Linked DNA regions of Caenorhabditis elegans. The protein of the gene in region 1 purifies or fractionates together with the protein of each later gene. This does not show direct contact. Each region holds a gene or a part of one and is shown on either strand. Other genes may lie near its edges.

The links. The genes of interacting proteins can lie anywhere in the genome.
Region 2: the proteins of F22F1.2 (region 1) and gld-3 fractionate together in Caenorhabditis elegans (co-fractionation; one large-scale study listed by BioGRID). This does not show direct contact.

What each region holds. Positions count from the first base shown.
Region 1 is NC_003284.9:8,148,418-8,153,300, forward strand, and holds F22F1.2 (non-specific serine/threonine protein kinase), read right to left. Parts: upstream 2,305-4,883; 5' UTR 2,300-2,304; coding exon 2,044-2,299; intron 1,997-2,043; coding exon 1,812-1,996; intron 1,764-1,811; coding exon 1,509-1,763; intron 1,461-1,508; coding exon 1,257-1,460; 3' UTR 1,142-1,256; downstream 1-1,141.
Region 2 is NC_003280.10:7,130,061-7,138,644, forward strand, and holds gld-3 (Defective in germ line development protein 3), read left to right. Parts: upstream 1-2,582; coding exon 2,583-2,707; intron 2,708-2,755; coding exon 2,756-2,837; intron 2,838-2,878; coding exon 2,879-2,989; intron 2,990-3,034; coding exon 3,035-3,105; intron 3,106-3,147; coding exon 3,148-3,313; intron 3,314-3,357; coding exon 3,358-3,486; intron 3,487-3,530; coding exon 3,531-3,650; intron 3,651-3,696; coding exon 3,697-3,774; intron 3,775-3,818; coding exon 3,819-3,956; intron 3,957-4,003; coding exon 4,004-4,246; intron 4,247-4,294; coding exon 4,295-4,393; intron 4,394-4,441; coding exon 4,442-4,610; intron 4,611-4,752; coding exon 4,753-4,875; intron 4,876-4,919; coding exon 4,920-4,988; coding exon of another isoform or gene 4,989-5,077; exon of another isoform or gene 5,078-5,267; intron 5,268-5,323; coding exon 5,324-5,401; intron 5,402-5,445; coding exon 5,446-5,685; intron 5,686-5,732; coding exon 5,733-6,159; intron 6,160-6,278; coding exon 6,279-6,651; intron 6,652-6,695; coding exon 6,696-6,744; and 4 more. Other genes in the region: T07F8.4 (ELM2 domain-containing protein), read right to left, coding at 637-814, 856-917, 970-1,322, 1,370-1,565, 1,615-1,724, 1,767-1,823, 1,875-1,956. UniProt on the Caenorhabditis elegans protein: Required maternally for germline survival and embryogenesis. Forms a complex with gls-1 which promotes the oogenic cell fate by freeing the translational repressor fbf to repress sperm promoting factors.

The DNA of each region.
Region 1 (4,883 bases):
ACAGAAAGATGCGGAATACTGTCAAACTCCTCGAGCTGTCGCTGATGGATGCTCATTTTCTACGTTACCGACAATCTGATGCTGCCAGAAACCACAGAAGTAACGATTCGACCAAGTGGTTGCTAATGTTGGATCCAAGGAATCGAGAATAGAGACAAGGCTTACTCTAAGCCGAAATATTAAATAATATTTATGTTTTTCCCTTTTTTAATTTATTTTTTCATTTTTCATGTTCAATAAACAAAATTATTTGGCAATTTTTCTCTTTTTGTATTAACATTTAATAACAAAAAGCAGTACTCCCGGTATATATAGAGCCTAATACAAAAGCTACAAGAACCTGACACAAACCTGACGTTGCCTGTTGCCGGCCCGCGGCGGCTTAATGTCAACTTGACAGCGGGCCGCGATTTCACCTGCCGCAAGTTCTCCATTCAGCAGCCAGCGGTCTGCTGGCAGGTTGCCACTAACCTGACGCGCTTTACCTGTGTTAAGGAGATTAACTAGAAATCAATTGGGCTCTGCCCGCGTAGGTTCGAATCCTGCTGACTGCGGAACTTTTTTTTTTGAAATTCGTAATTTTGTAGTCGAGAAGTTAGGTCATTCAATATGGTTTCAACTTCACTCCTTCCTGATTCTAATACTAAAACTGCATTGGAACTGGAAAAAAAACGTTTCGAGAAAAGTGGATGTCCGTTAAAACAGTTTTTATTTGATTGAAAGTTTGCCTGCATCATGTCCTCGGTAGTATAGTGGTGAGTATCCGCGTCTGTCACATGCGAGACCCGGGTTCAATTCCCGGCCGGGGAGAACTTTTTTGTTGATTTTTCAATTGAAACATTCAGAATATTACACAAAGTCATAGTTTCCAATCTGAATTATGTCCCTTTCGGGAAGTGTTAACAGCATTTAAACTTAAAAGTTTGATATTTAAGCTTGTCGCAAGAATACTTCTACATTTTGAAATTTTGACCCCCATTAATCATACATTCTCAATCAACTTATGCCAATCGAAAAAAGTTGCTGATATATGATATGTCTCGCAAGAAGAATAAGAAAAACTTGACCATTCCACGGATAGTCTCAACAGATTTCAGTTGTTCACTGAATTATAATTTCACAAGACTGAGTTTACACTGAATTGAAACAAAAATGTTTTTATCTACTATAGAAATAATCAAGCCAGCGAAAAATGAGATCTAAAATGAAAAGATCTGAAGTGGAATGAAACCAGTAACATTATAGTATACAGGGGATTATGGGAGGACAATCGCTCCATTGACGAACTGGGCCTTGAGAGAATCACCAGCGAAACCTCCACCCGACGAGGTGAGCATCTCTTGGAGAAGATCCATGATTTCCTTGTAGTTCGGCTCCTTTCCGTGTTTTTGCTTGGCGATGATCTTGATGATCGGCTTGAGATCCTGGTGTTCTCCAAGGAATTTCTTTGGTTTTTCGGCCTGAAAATAACACTATAAGACAGAAACCTATGTATATGGGAAACTTACGAAAGCCTTCTTCAGTTTAGTCATTTTGTGTCCATCGATATCTTCCCACGGAGCAAGCTTGCGACAGATGCAAGCGAGGTATGCAACTTGCATAAGGTCCTCCGCTTCCATGTGCGGTTTGCCATTTGCGGTTCGAGCGGGGGTGTGAATGAGATTGATGCAGCCGCTGGGAAATGGAATTGGGGGAGTGCGGTTGCCATTGTGGTCTTTGAAGGAGCGTGACAGACCAAAGTCAACAAGCGACAGCATGAAGGTCTGAAAGTACGAAATTATTTGAAAGTTACCGAGAAAACGGAGACTTACCTTGTTCGAACCGGAAATCATTAGGTTGTCAGCCTTGATGTCTCCGTGAGCAATCCCAAAAGAGTGAACATCTTGGAGGATTTTGACAAGCTGCCAAAGGATGTGAAATCCAGTAGACTTTGAGAATCCCTTGATACCGTTTCGGCGAGCAATGTTGGTCAAGTCGTCCAGGAGCGGCTCCATTACTGAAAAAAAATAGTTTTAAGGTATGACATCAAATCTCTCATCTCACCAATATAATTATGAATGTCGGTCGCCCCATAGTCATACATTCTTGAGATCCCCCTGACCTCCGCGAGTGCAGTGAGTGCAAAAGTCTCGCGGCGCCAGGTCTCATCGCGAACACCATTTATCTCTTTGTGAATCAATTTGATAACACTCCATTTGTTGTTTCGCTCGTCTCTGCAGAAGTAGACATCCCCATAAGATCCCTCTCCCAACTTCTTTTCCAAAATATAGTTGTCAACTTTGAGCGGAGAATTCGCCATTACTCTGAAAAAAGTTTAACTTTATTCAGTTTCCAGTAGTAGGACGGCAAAATTGAGAGATGTCATAAAACATTAGAAGTTGTAAAAGTAAGTAGTAGTTGAATATATCTCCACAGGGCGCATTCAATTTTCAAGAAGAAAAATCGAGTACCGGTTGAAAAGAATTTCAATTTCGGGTGTGCACAGTGTAAATACAAAAATAGTTCTGTATTTTGAAACTGTCACCCTTGTAAGCCACTACTTTTACAACATTCTAGTTGGAAATGTATATAATTCGAGGAGCTTGCTGACAGATTGTATTTGATGGCATAAAACATTCTACCACAGAATCAGAAAATAAAGGGAAACAAAACCAGATCATTCTTGAACTTTCAGATTGAACAAGTGGCGAAGGACACCATGCAAATGCCTCGTTTTTCTCAATTATTCAGCTGAAAACTCAGAAATTCTTTGTTTCATCTCCCAGTTTTTCTCATTCCCTGATTTTCCAATGTTTGTAGCAATTTGAGAACATTTCATCAACGATCTCCTTCAATTATATCCATTTTCATTGTTCAGTTCTGCTCAATCGTCGTGCCAATACCTCATGCAACAGTACTTCCGAGGTATCTGAGACTCATATTCCAGTTCTGCTTTATCTCATGCTTTGCCTTACATGGATCTTATAGGCTCTCATATATAGGATTATGAAGGGAGGGAGTATTATAGCAACCACAGAAAGCCGACAGTGTGCCATTTCAGAGACAGTCCCTATCGACCGAGCTCTTTTTTATTCTCCAAATTCATTCAGACATCTCGGTGAGCACTACCGGGTCTTTTCTTTACTGCAAGTAATTTTCTATCATTTCGAGACTTTTCTCCAGTTCTGCTATCTCGCCCCGCATGCTTTGCCATTCATGGGGGTCGAACCCGTCGGATCAAAAAAGCTCTGATCCATAGACAGCCGCCCTACTGCCTAGGCCACAGTTGCAGCCAGAAGCTGTGGGGATAAAGATAAAGATAAAAAGGGGGAGGAGGGAGTTGCTATGGCAACGGCGCAGAACTGAGTTCGTAGAAACGGCTGTAATTTCGGAACCAGACATCGTACAGAGGTTTTGAAATATGTTTCTGAAAGATAAATTTTTGGAGATTTTTTTTATTTGTTTTCAGATAGACTGATATTGAAGTGGTGATGTTTGTATTCGGGAATTGATGGTTGTAACAAAATTTCACCAACTTTACATCCAGTTTCGGAAATTTAGTTTCTGTCCATAGTAACTTTGTATGGAAATTTTTTTTTTGAGTTTTAGGATCTTATTTGGAGTTGGTTGTCAACAAATTGTTGCTTTGTTTCAAAAATCGTTTCCATTTGGAAATTTAAGATTTGTACAGTGAAACACAGACTTCACTCACGTAGGTTTCGTTCGTCAGTTTCCATATTCATTCTTATGGTAAATATTTTAAAATGAGAAACACAATTAGACAAATGTTTTATTAACCGAAACAATTATTGAAAAATCTCTGCAATACCTCAAAACAGGCACCAAGCCACTTAGAATCCTGCAAACGGACGTCTGGATTAGTCCGATTTACCAGTTCTAAAAAAATATTCCCGACTTTTTTTCTTTCGGAGTGACATGCATCTTGAACAACTGAATCGACTTCTCTAGGAATCCTGCGCAGTTTTTTCTTGAATACTTTGAAAGCTTAAATATCAAACTTTTAAGTTTAAATGTTGTTAACACTTCCCAAAAAGGACATATTTCAGAAAAAGGGACATAAATCAGATTGGAAACTATGACCTTGTGTAATATTCTGAATGTATCAATTGAAAAATCAACAAAAAAGTTCTCCCCGGCCGGGAATTGAACCCGGGTCTCGCATGTGACAGACGCGGATACTCACCACTATACTACCGAGGACATGATGCAGACAAACTTCCATTCAAATAAAAAACTTGTTTATAATTATTACGAACAGCCACTTTTCTCGAAACTTTTTTTTCCATTTTTTATGCAGTTTTCAATATTGGAATCGACAAGGACAGAAGCTGAAACCATATTGAATGACCAAACTTATCGACTACAAAATCACGAATTTCAAAAAAAAAAAGTTCCGCAGTCAGCAGGATTCGAACCTACGCGGGCAGAGCCCAATTGATTTCTAGTCAATCTCCTTAACCACTCGGACATGACTGCATGATGGCTTTTCGTTTCAAATTATATGTCAATATTGTAACATAGCTGATATAAATCAATTCACAAATCACTTGTGTTTAATACACGCCTTCCATAAAAACTAGCCATCTAAAATCAAGGTATTTACTACATCTATTATTATATTAAACTGACGTAGTGTAAGTAAGTAGGATAGGTTATGAAACCTTATTGTAAAATGAACCTATTCATGTCAAAATTGTATGCACGTGAATATTGAAAAATCATATTAAAAAGTAAGAACTTTCAACGAACTATTTTTAAGTGACACAGACTTTGGTATAACTTTCGAAAATTACTTCAGGCCTCGAGTATGAGTATGGAAAAACGCTTTGTGTTGCACTTAAATTCTGAAATTAAATTTGATTAGCCGAATATTTTGCTTTTAT
Region 2 (8,584 bases), on another chromosome or scaffold:
ACAAATGTACCCCCAATTCGGTGTACCCTTGGATCATGGGCCAACTGCGGTTGGTTGGAGCACGCGCATTGGATTTTATGCGGTAAGACAAAAGTGCGAACGTAGCTATAATTTACTCTCTCTCTCTCTCTCTGAAAACGGGGTCGATAAGTGCAAAATCTACGGGATTTAACACCAAAATTTCAGATGCAAATTTTCAGATACTGAGACCGAGATGGCAGAATTAAATGTTGGTTTTCAGTAGACAGTAACATTATCTTCCGATTGGTATGCTTTTTGCTCCATATTTCCACCATATTTTTACGGGGCTCCCAGTTTTTCACTTACATGTGGTGAAGGATCACAGACCAGAAGAAGACGTGTTGTACGTGCTAGAAATGATGACTGGGAGGAAATCGAGTGTGATGATACGGAGACCGAAGTCCGACAGTGTACGGGTCGTCATCAATGTTGATAAACTCTAATTTTAACAATGAAATTTTATGAAAGTGAATATTTGATTCAGATTAATTTGACAACGAAGGAATTTGATTGTTGTGATTACGTAAATGGGTATCAGGGGCGAGATTATTTGTTAAACAGAGATCGAAAATAATAAATGCTTAGGTGAAAAAGTAAAAAAATAGTTCCCTAGTTTTAGTTCGTAAGAGTTGATGGCTCCTCTGAAGTAGATGGCTCGGAGAAGGAGGCTTCAACAAATCCAGTTTGACCATTTTGATCTTCCAGTTGAGCTACTTGCTGATGCCATGCAGCAGATAAATGAGGCTGAACTACTGGCGCATGCTGTGGATGAGCGTCCCGCCAAACTCGATAGCTGAAATAAATTATTAAAATTTGAAATCGTCGTTCTCTCACCCAGGGGTTAATTTCCATTGATAGTAGTATTCGATAAGTTCTCCAACTTTCCGGTAGGGTAGCTAAAATAAAACATTATGAAAACTTTTTGAATTTGCAAAATATACAACTAACCCGTAGTCTCCTTATCAGCGAAAAATCTTTTCCATACAGCTCGAGTGACTCTTCAAATGCCTTTGCTTCACTCTCATCGAATCCCAATGCATCTGAGCGAACAGTGCGGAATGGGGCATTTATATGAGGAAAAGGGAATGATTCTTTCGCCTTTTCTGTGTCAAAGTTGCTTCTATACAAAGCACATAGAGCGTCCTCGTCGTCTCGTGATTCGGTGCCAGCTGGTGGACATGGTTGGTCGTGGGCTTTTCGTAAGCCTACTACATCTTTGAGATAGTTGTCAATAACTTCATCACTTGGCTGATTCGTCTGATCAATTGTCCATAAAATAGTGTCATCTTCTCGAGCAGATTCTGAAGAAATAAATCGATATAGAATCAAAAATCAGATCATTGCTTACCTTCAACCGTTGCTTCATTAAAAAGCGGGACGTCGGCTTGGAAAAGTACTGGATCCACACGAATACTTCTTTTCCATGGGTCTGGCGGTGGTGCATAGTCGTCATCATCGTCGTCGAAGCCACTCATTGAATTACCCATATCGAAAATTGTTGAGTCGTGCGGTTCTGCAGCAGCCGAACTTGATTCCCCTACATTCTGAAAAATATAAACATTTTATAATTTCACTTTATCATTTGTAAATTACTTCTTCGGCGATTTCCGTATCTTCATTGTTTGCAGATGAATTTTCCGCTGGACGATAGCCATACTTACGTTGAAGTTCTTCAATTGACATTTCTCCCTCATCTTCCAAGTCTGAAAAGAAAAATGAGTCAGAAGCAAATTAAAGAAATTCACCTTTCAATTCATCTTCGTAGTCCCCTTCATCTAGAAGCTCCTCCTCTTCAATTGTCGCTGGAAAACCATACGTTGAAGAAATTTGAAAAAATATATATATAAGCATACCTTCATAGTCTTCGCCATTATCATTATCGTCTACATAATCTTCTTCATCAGTGATAGACGAACGAGAACCCTCTTCATCCATATTCAAAGCCTGGAAACTAACAAAAGTTGTATTAAAAACGGAAAAAGCGAAAATAAGTTAAAGCGGTTTGCGCGTCGACTAAGACGTAATTCTCTGTGTGCGGTGTTTGCGGACTTGTTTACAGTAGCTCGCAAAATAAAAAATGATGCAAAGCCAATGGGTGTTTCTAAAAAAGGGGAAGTTAATTTTGAAAAAGTAGAAAGCAACACAGATATAACAAAATAGTATAACAATTTATTAAAATGTAATTCAAATGTTCAGTCTGTTAAATGAAGCCGCCCCTAATATTAGGCAGCTAATCAAATTTAAAAAGTACAGTAACCAAGAAAGTTTTCAGAAAGGCGCATTACCGAAATCGAGCAGGTCTTACAACGTTCTTCAAGGAGATTGTTTGGCGCCCAATTCCTCGAACACACGTTCAGCGTGATTTTCAGTGTGTTTTCTCATTTGTTTTCGTGCAATTTCATCCTTATAATGCTAATATTATCTGTAATTAATCGTTCCACGATGATACTAATACCAGTAACATCGACGGAGGCACTGACGATCATTTATAAAATATTTGAAACTCAAAAAATTTACTGAGCAAACGCTTTAGTGTTAGAAACAAGATTTCAATTTTGCAGATGGGGGAGCAAAGCCATGAAAAAGATCATGATGAAGCGCACTCCTACAATCCATTCGTTCGCTCTGCCGTTGAATACGATGCTGACACACGCCTCCAAATGGCAGAAAATGCGGCATCTGCAAGGTATTAAATATGGTTTACGCTTACAACATTCTAATACTCCGATTTTAGAAAACTATTTGTATCGTCTGCCCTCAAAGATATTATCGTGAATCCTGAAAACTTCTATCATGATTTCCAGCAATCTGCACAGGTAAAGGCAACAACTTGTTATGTTACAGTCAAACAATTCAGATGGCGGAGGATGCTAATCAGAGACGACAGGTGTCATACAACACGAAACGAGAGGCTCATATTCATCAGCTAAAAGCGCAAGGATTGCCTCTGCCGTCAAATATACCAATGGTTTGACTGCTTCACATTCCACTGATTAACTGATTCAACATTTAGATCGAGATTAACCCAACTAGAGTAACCCTCAATATGGAGTTTGAATCCCAATACTATTCACTAATGACCAGGTTAGTTCACCAGTTAAGCGAAAGAAATTGTATTCATTTCAGTGACAACGGGGATCACGAGAATGTCGCGTCAATCATGGCAGAAACTAACACCCTCATTCAACTTCCCGATCGTTCTGTCGGAGGAACTACACCTGATCCATTTGCACAGCAAGTAACCATCACTGGATACTTTGGTGACGTGGATAGAGCACGAATGTTGATGAGAGTACGTTCAACTCTGATTATATGAATAATGTTCGTATTTTACAGAGAAACTGTCATTTTACAGTTTTTATGGCACTGTCAAAAATGAAGATGCCACTTCACGAACTTCAGGCACATGTCAGACAGAACCCCATTCAAAATGTGGAAATGTCTTTCGTCGATGCTCCAGAAAAGGCAAGCCGATTTAGCTAGTAACCAACAGTATTAATTTTCTTCAGAATGGAATCGTCACAACCTATCTTCGTATCACCGCCCGCGAAAAGAATCAGCATGAACTGATCGAAGCTGCAAAACGACTGAATGAAATACTTTTCCGCGAGTCTCCGGCACCGGAGAATGTTAGCAGATAAACTGAATATATATCCTGAACATTTTGTTTTTCAGAATTTCACTCTCCATTTCACATTGTCAACATACTACGTGGATCAAGTTCTTGGAAGTTCATCGACGGCGCAACTCATGGTTTGGCTAAAGGATATTTCTATTACATCAGCATTAAATTTCAGCCTGTAATCGAGAGGGAGACAACGACAATAATTAGTTATCCATGTTACAATAATCGAAACGAAACTCGTGGAAATATTTATGAAATTAAAGTTGTTGGGAACATTGACAATGTTCTTAAAGCCAGGAGATACATAATGGTGAGGAGTATGAATACATAGAAAGATATACACTCGAGAATTTACAGGACCTCCTTCCTATTTCGATGTGTTTCAACATTAAAAATACTGATATGGCAGAACCGAGCAGAGTTTCTGATCGGAACATACACATGATTATTGATGAGAGTGGGATTATTCTTAAAATGACTCCTTCCGTGTATGAGCCCGCGGATCTACTGTCAGGAGAGGTTCCGTTGAACTGTGCCAGTCTTCGTTCGAAGGAGTTTAACATAAAGAAGCTGTACACCGCTTATCAAAAAGTTCTCTCGGTAAGCGCACGTCTCTCTGAAATGAGATTAAGAACAAGTAATTTTCAGAAAAAATTTGATTTCATTGCTCCACAACCAAATGATTATGACAACTCCATCTGGCATCATTCTCTTCCGGCAAACTTTTTGAAAAATTTCAATATGCCGGTTAGTCATGTTTATTTTACATTTTAGTTCAAAACGAGATTTTTTCAGTGTCGGGGTGAACTTTCTGATGGTTCAAACGGTCGTCGTCATAGAAGCTCATCAATAGCTTCTTCTCGTTCCAAACACAGTTACATGAGCAAAGGAAAACAATTTTCTGAGTCGTCTGGGGGTCCATCAAGGTCTCACACAAGAGTATCTTCGTTTTCCGAAAATTCATGTGAGCAATTTGCCTTTTATGATTGTAAATAGTACACACAAATTATACTATAAAATTATTTAAGAAAAGCATATCAAATTTATTTAAATAACAATGATAATAATATTACTACAGAGTGCTTTAAAATCAGGAAATTTTGCAGCAACCGTCCCTATTATGCAATTTCCAACGCCACATTTTGCACCACCAATGTTAACTCCTCATCATCACATGCTGAAATACGTCTATTTGCAGCAACATCAGCAAGCTCAGACATTTTTGAAAGGTTGCTATTATATATTTTGTTTCGACAATCATACAAGCTTTCAGGTGCAGCTGGATTACATCCTGGCACACATATCATGTTCCCTCCACCGATCATCGTCGATGGATCCTTTGGTGCGCGTTATTCTTCAAATATTTATCCATTTTCTTACATAGTTCCACAGAACTTTAACTTTTTGAACGGAAATTTCGGTCACCTTTAGAAGATCTCTCGTCATGTTATATATTCATCGTGTAAAATGAGCTCTTCATGAAAAATTTGCCAAATTCTGGATAGTTTTAAGCCACAAAATTTTCTCTTGTTCCTCCTACCGCCACTATGTAATATTTGTCTTTTCACCCGGTTGTGATGATCTTATTACGTAAATTCAACCACAATAAAGCGTTTAGCTTCCATCAATATTCTATGTCTTCGTAAAAATTATCATTATTGAAATTTTGTGTTTCAGTGTCTGCTCTGCCATTTGCGGATCCTGTAGTATTTGATGGTTTTCCTTATGTCCACGGATTGTTTCCGGTAAATGAAGGTTGGTTTATTCGTTCAAAGCATCATTGCAACAATCACTTTCAGCCGAACAACACAGAAATCACCGTGAATCATCACCATCTCTACGATCAACACAAGAAATCAGAAAACCGTCTAGAAACATGGGAAATCGACCATCATCGAGCACAGGTTCTTATTATCCATCGACAACACCTCGTCAACGTGTTTACGAACAAGTTCGAGAAGATGATCTTCGTTCACATATTGGTTCAAGAAGAACATCAGTGAATGGAGACGATCAGAATGTTGAAAGCATGCACGACCGTAAGACTATGACAATAATAAAATTGATAAAATCATAATTATTACAGAAGGATATGAAAGACAGTACCCACGACAGCATCAAAGACTTCAGAAGGATGATCAACAACGCTGGAAGACAGGAAGTCGTGGAGATATTCACTCAAGTAGAACAATTAATGTGCACAGAGACGTTCGCAATTCCAATGAATACGACTTTCATGTGGGAAATTCTGGGCCAGCTAAGAGGTCCCCGTCTTTGGAACAAGTACAATTGCAAATGACACACCACTTGAAGTTGAAATCGAATGATGTTGATTTGGATCATGAAAAGCTTTATATGCATGAGTCACCGCACAATGATTCTGATACTACAGTTTCTGCAAGTGGCTTCGGAAATGATTTAATGGATGGAGACTTTGTTCAGAGATTCCTATCCAATGCAAATATCAATGAATCGGGAAGAAGACCAAGAACAGTTAGCTGTTTTACCGAGAAGTACGTTTTTAAAGTTGAAATTAAAAGAGTTTATAGCTTTTCGTTTACATCATAAATGAGCATTTTTAATTTGCAAAAAATACATATTTAAGCATTCATATAATCAAAACATTTTACAGAGATGGTCAATCCGCCCGATACATCGATTCTGATGGTGCATACAGCGTTGTTGATCATGCATCCACACATCAATCTCGTTCATATGATAGCTTCAGAAAAGTTGGCGACAACGGAGTCACAAAAACCATATTGGAACCACGTGCTCGAGTAGAGAAAGATTATGGCAAAATAAGCCTAGAACACAAGACGAAATACTCAAATGAGTACGGTGATGAAGAGAAGTCAGCAGAAAATGATACGTCTTCGTTGGGATCTAGACAATACAGAATTGATCCAATGAAGTTAATAGCTAGTGTTCGTGAATCGAGTGAGCAACTACCACGTATTCATGAAAGGCAGTTTAGCGATGTTCTGAATGAAAAAGAAAAAGAGGCAAGTAGTCTATTGGCTTGCCATAATTATCTGTAAAGCTTCAGATCGCCGACAAAAGTATTGAATCTACAGTAACCCAAGATCTTTCGTTAGGTTTGTAAATCCACAATTGGCTAATTAACATACATATATTTCAGACGAAACATCTACATATTGAGAAATCGGGATTTTTCCAATAGCTTCTTCTACTTCTTACATCAATTTTCGCTATATATGAACCCTATTTGTGCATATCGTATACGGCTCCATCAATTTTTATCTTACAAACCATCCATTTGCCTGTCGAGAATATCTTTGTATCCACGGGACTTATACGACTAGGCCGATGGTTGGTGCTTAGCCTTCACAGTTCTACACTTATTTTAACCGAAATTATTTTCCAATTCTTCCCGTATTATTTCATTGTTGTCACCTCTTCGTTCGTCATTTTTCTATCTTTTCATTCCTTTTGCAGACGTTGGAAGCATAGGTAACATGAAAAATTAAATGAATTCACAATGAAATTCAGAATTTTCGTGCATCTATACTTCCAATTGCAATTTATGGCACTGTCGATGTTCCCTTCCCTATATTTAATGTTCTTCCTTTTTTCTCCCATAATTCCCAGTTGTTTTTGATCGCAATATTGTCCCGGGTCCCATCATATCTAGGTTTGTTTCAATGTATTCCATCTTTCCTTTCTTTTTTCATCACTTCATATACACTACCACTTTTATTGTCTTTTCTTTTTTTTTCGTCATTCAACTAGGATTTCATTAGCAGTTTATCCCAATTTCCTCTACAGTTCTGTTTATAAATGAAAGAATTGCGGAAATATTGTTGTTAATCACATCTTATCGTCCGACAACTTTCGATTCAGCAAGGACATGTTCATTGATAATGTTCTAAATTTCTAATATGGAAAGTCTCTTGGTCGTTCAAATCCTCGCCATAGTCTTCATACAAGTGGAAGATTTTGATTTTAGAAAGACTAAAATTAATTCGTCTCACTTGAATGTAGCGATAAAAGGATAGAAGAAACAAAAAAATTTTTCCTGAATTTCCCTGAATCGATACACTTTCTCCATATAATCGTAAAGCGAGGTCTCTCTTTTTTCTTGAAACGGACTGTCCATTGGAGGCACTTATTTCTTGAAATGAGCCAATCTTCGACCGCCTGACTCTACTCACTCCATAATTTCATCTGCATCATCTTCTTTTCCCAAACCAAAAAATGTGTATTCTTATTCAAAACGACGCTTGTTTTTTTTAATACGGAAAGAAGATTTGATGACAGACTTCCTTGGATTTTTCGTTAATATGTATATGTGTAAATTTTTTTCAAATTAAAGATAGTAGTGCATTGGGAATATTGTTAAAAAATCACTCATATAGTACTAAAATGACGATGACTCGGTTTTCCACACTCATCATAATTTTGGAAGTCGACAATTTTTTTTCATTATTAAAATGTTTCTAATAATAATTATTTTATTATTGTAGGAGCTGAAACATGTGATTTTTTAACCGAATTTTTCCTGAATTTTTCGCGAAATTTGGCAATTGACCAAAACATTGACTGAAAATTTCAAAAATTGTGCTTTTTTGAAATTCTTTTTTGAATTGTGCAAAAAGTGCTTTTTTGAGTGAATTTAGATTATTATGAGTTAATTCAAAATAAATCCACGTTAAAGCTACTCCATCTGGAAAGCTTAAAAAATCGTTCTTTTTTGAATAAAGATAAAGAAATAGAAGAATCGATTATCTGATTACCTCTCTTCAAAAGATTTTGAGAAGACACTCAAAGTAAACCTGTCTGCCTTATTCAATTGCATTCACTTAATGTTCATGAACATATTCTCGTATTGAACATTCTTTTTTTGGCTTATTCATATAAGTTATTTCATTTGCACTTTTCAATTTTTATATATTTTTGAATCTACGCGAAACATTC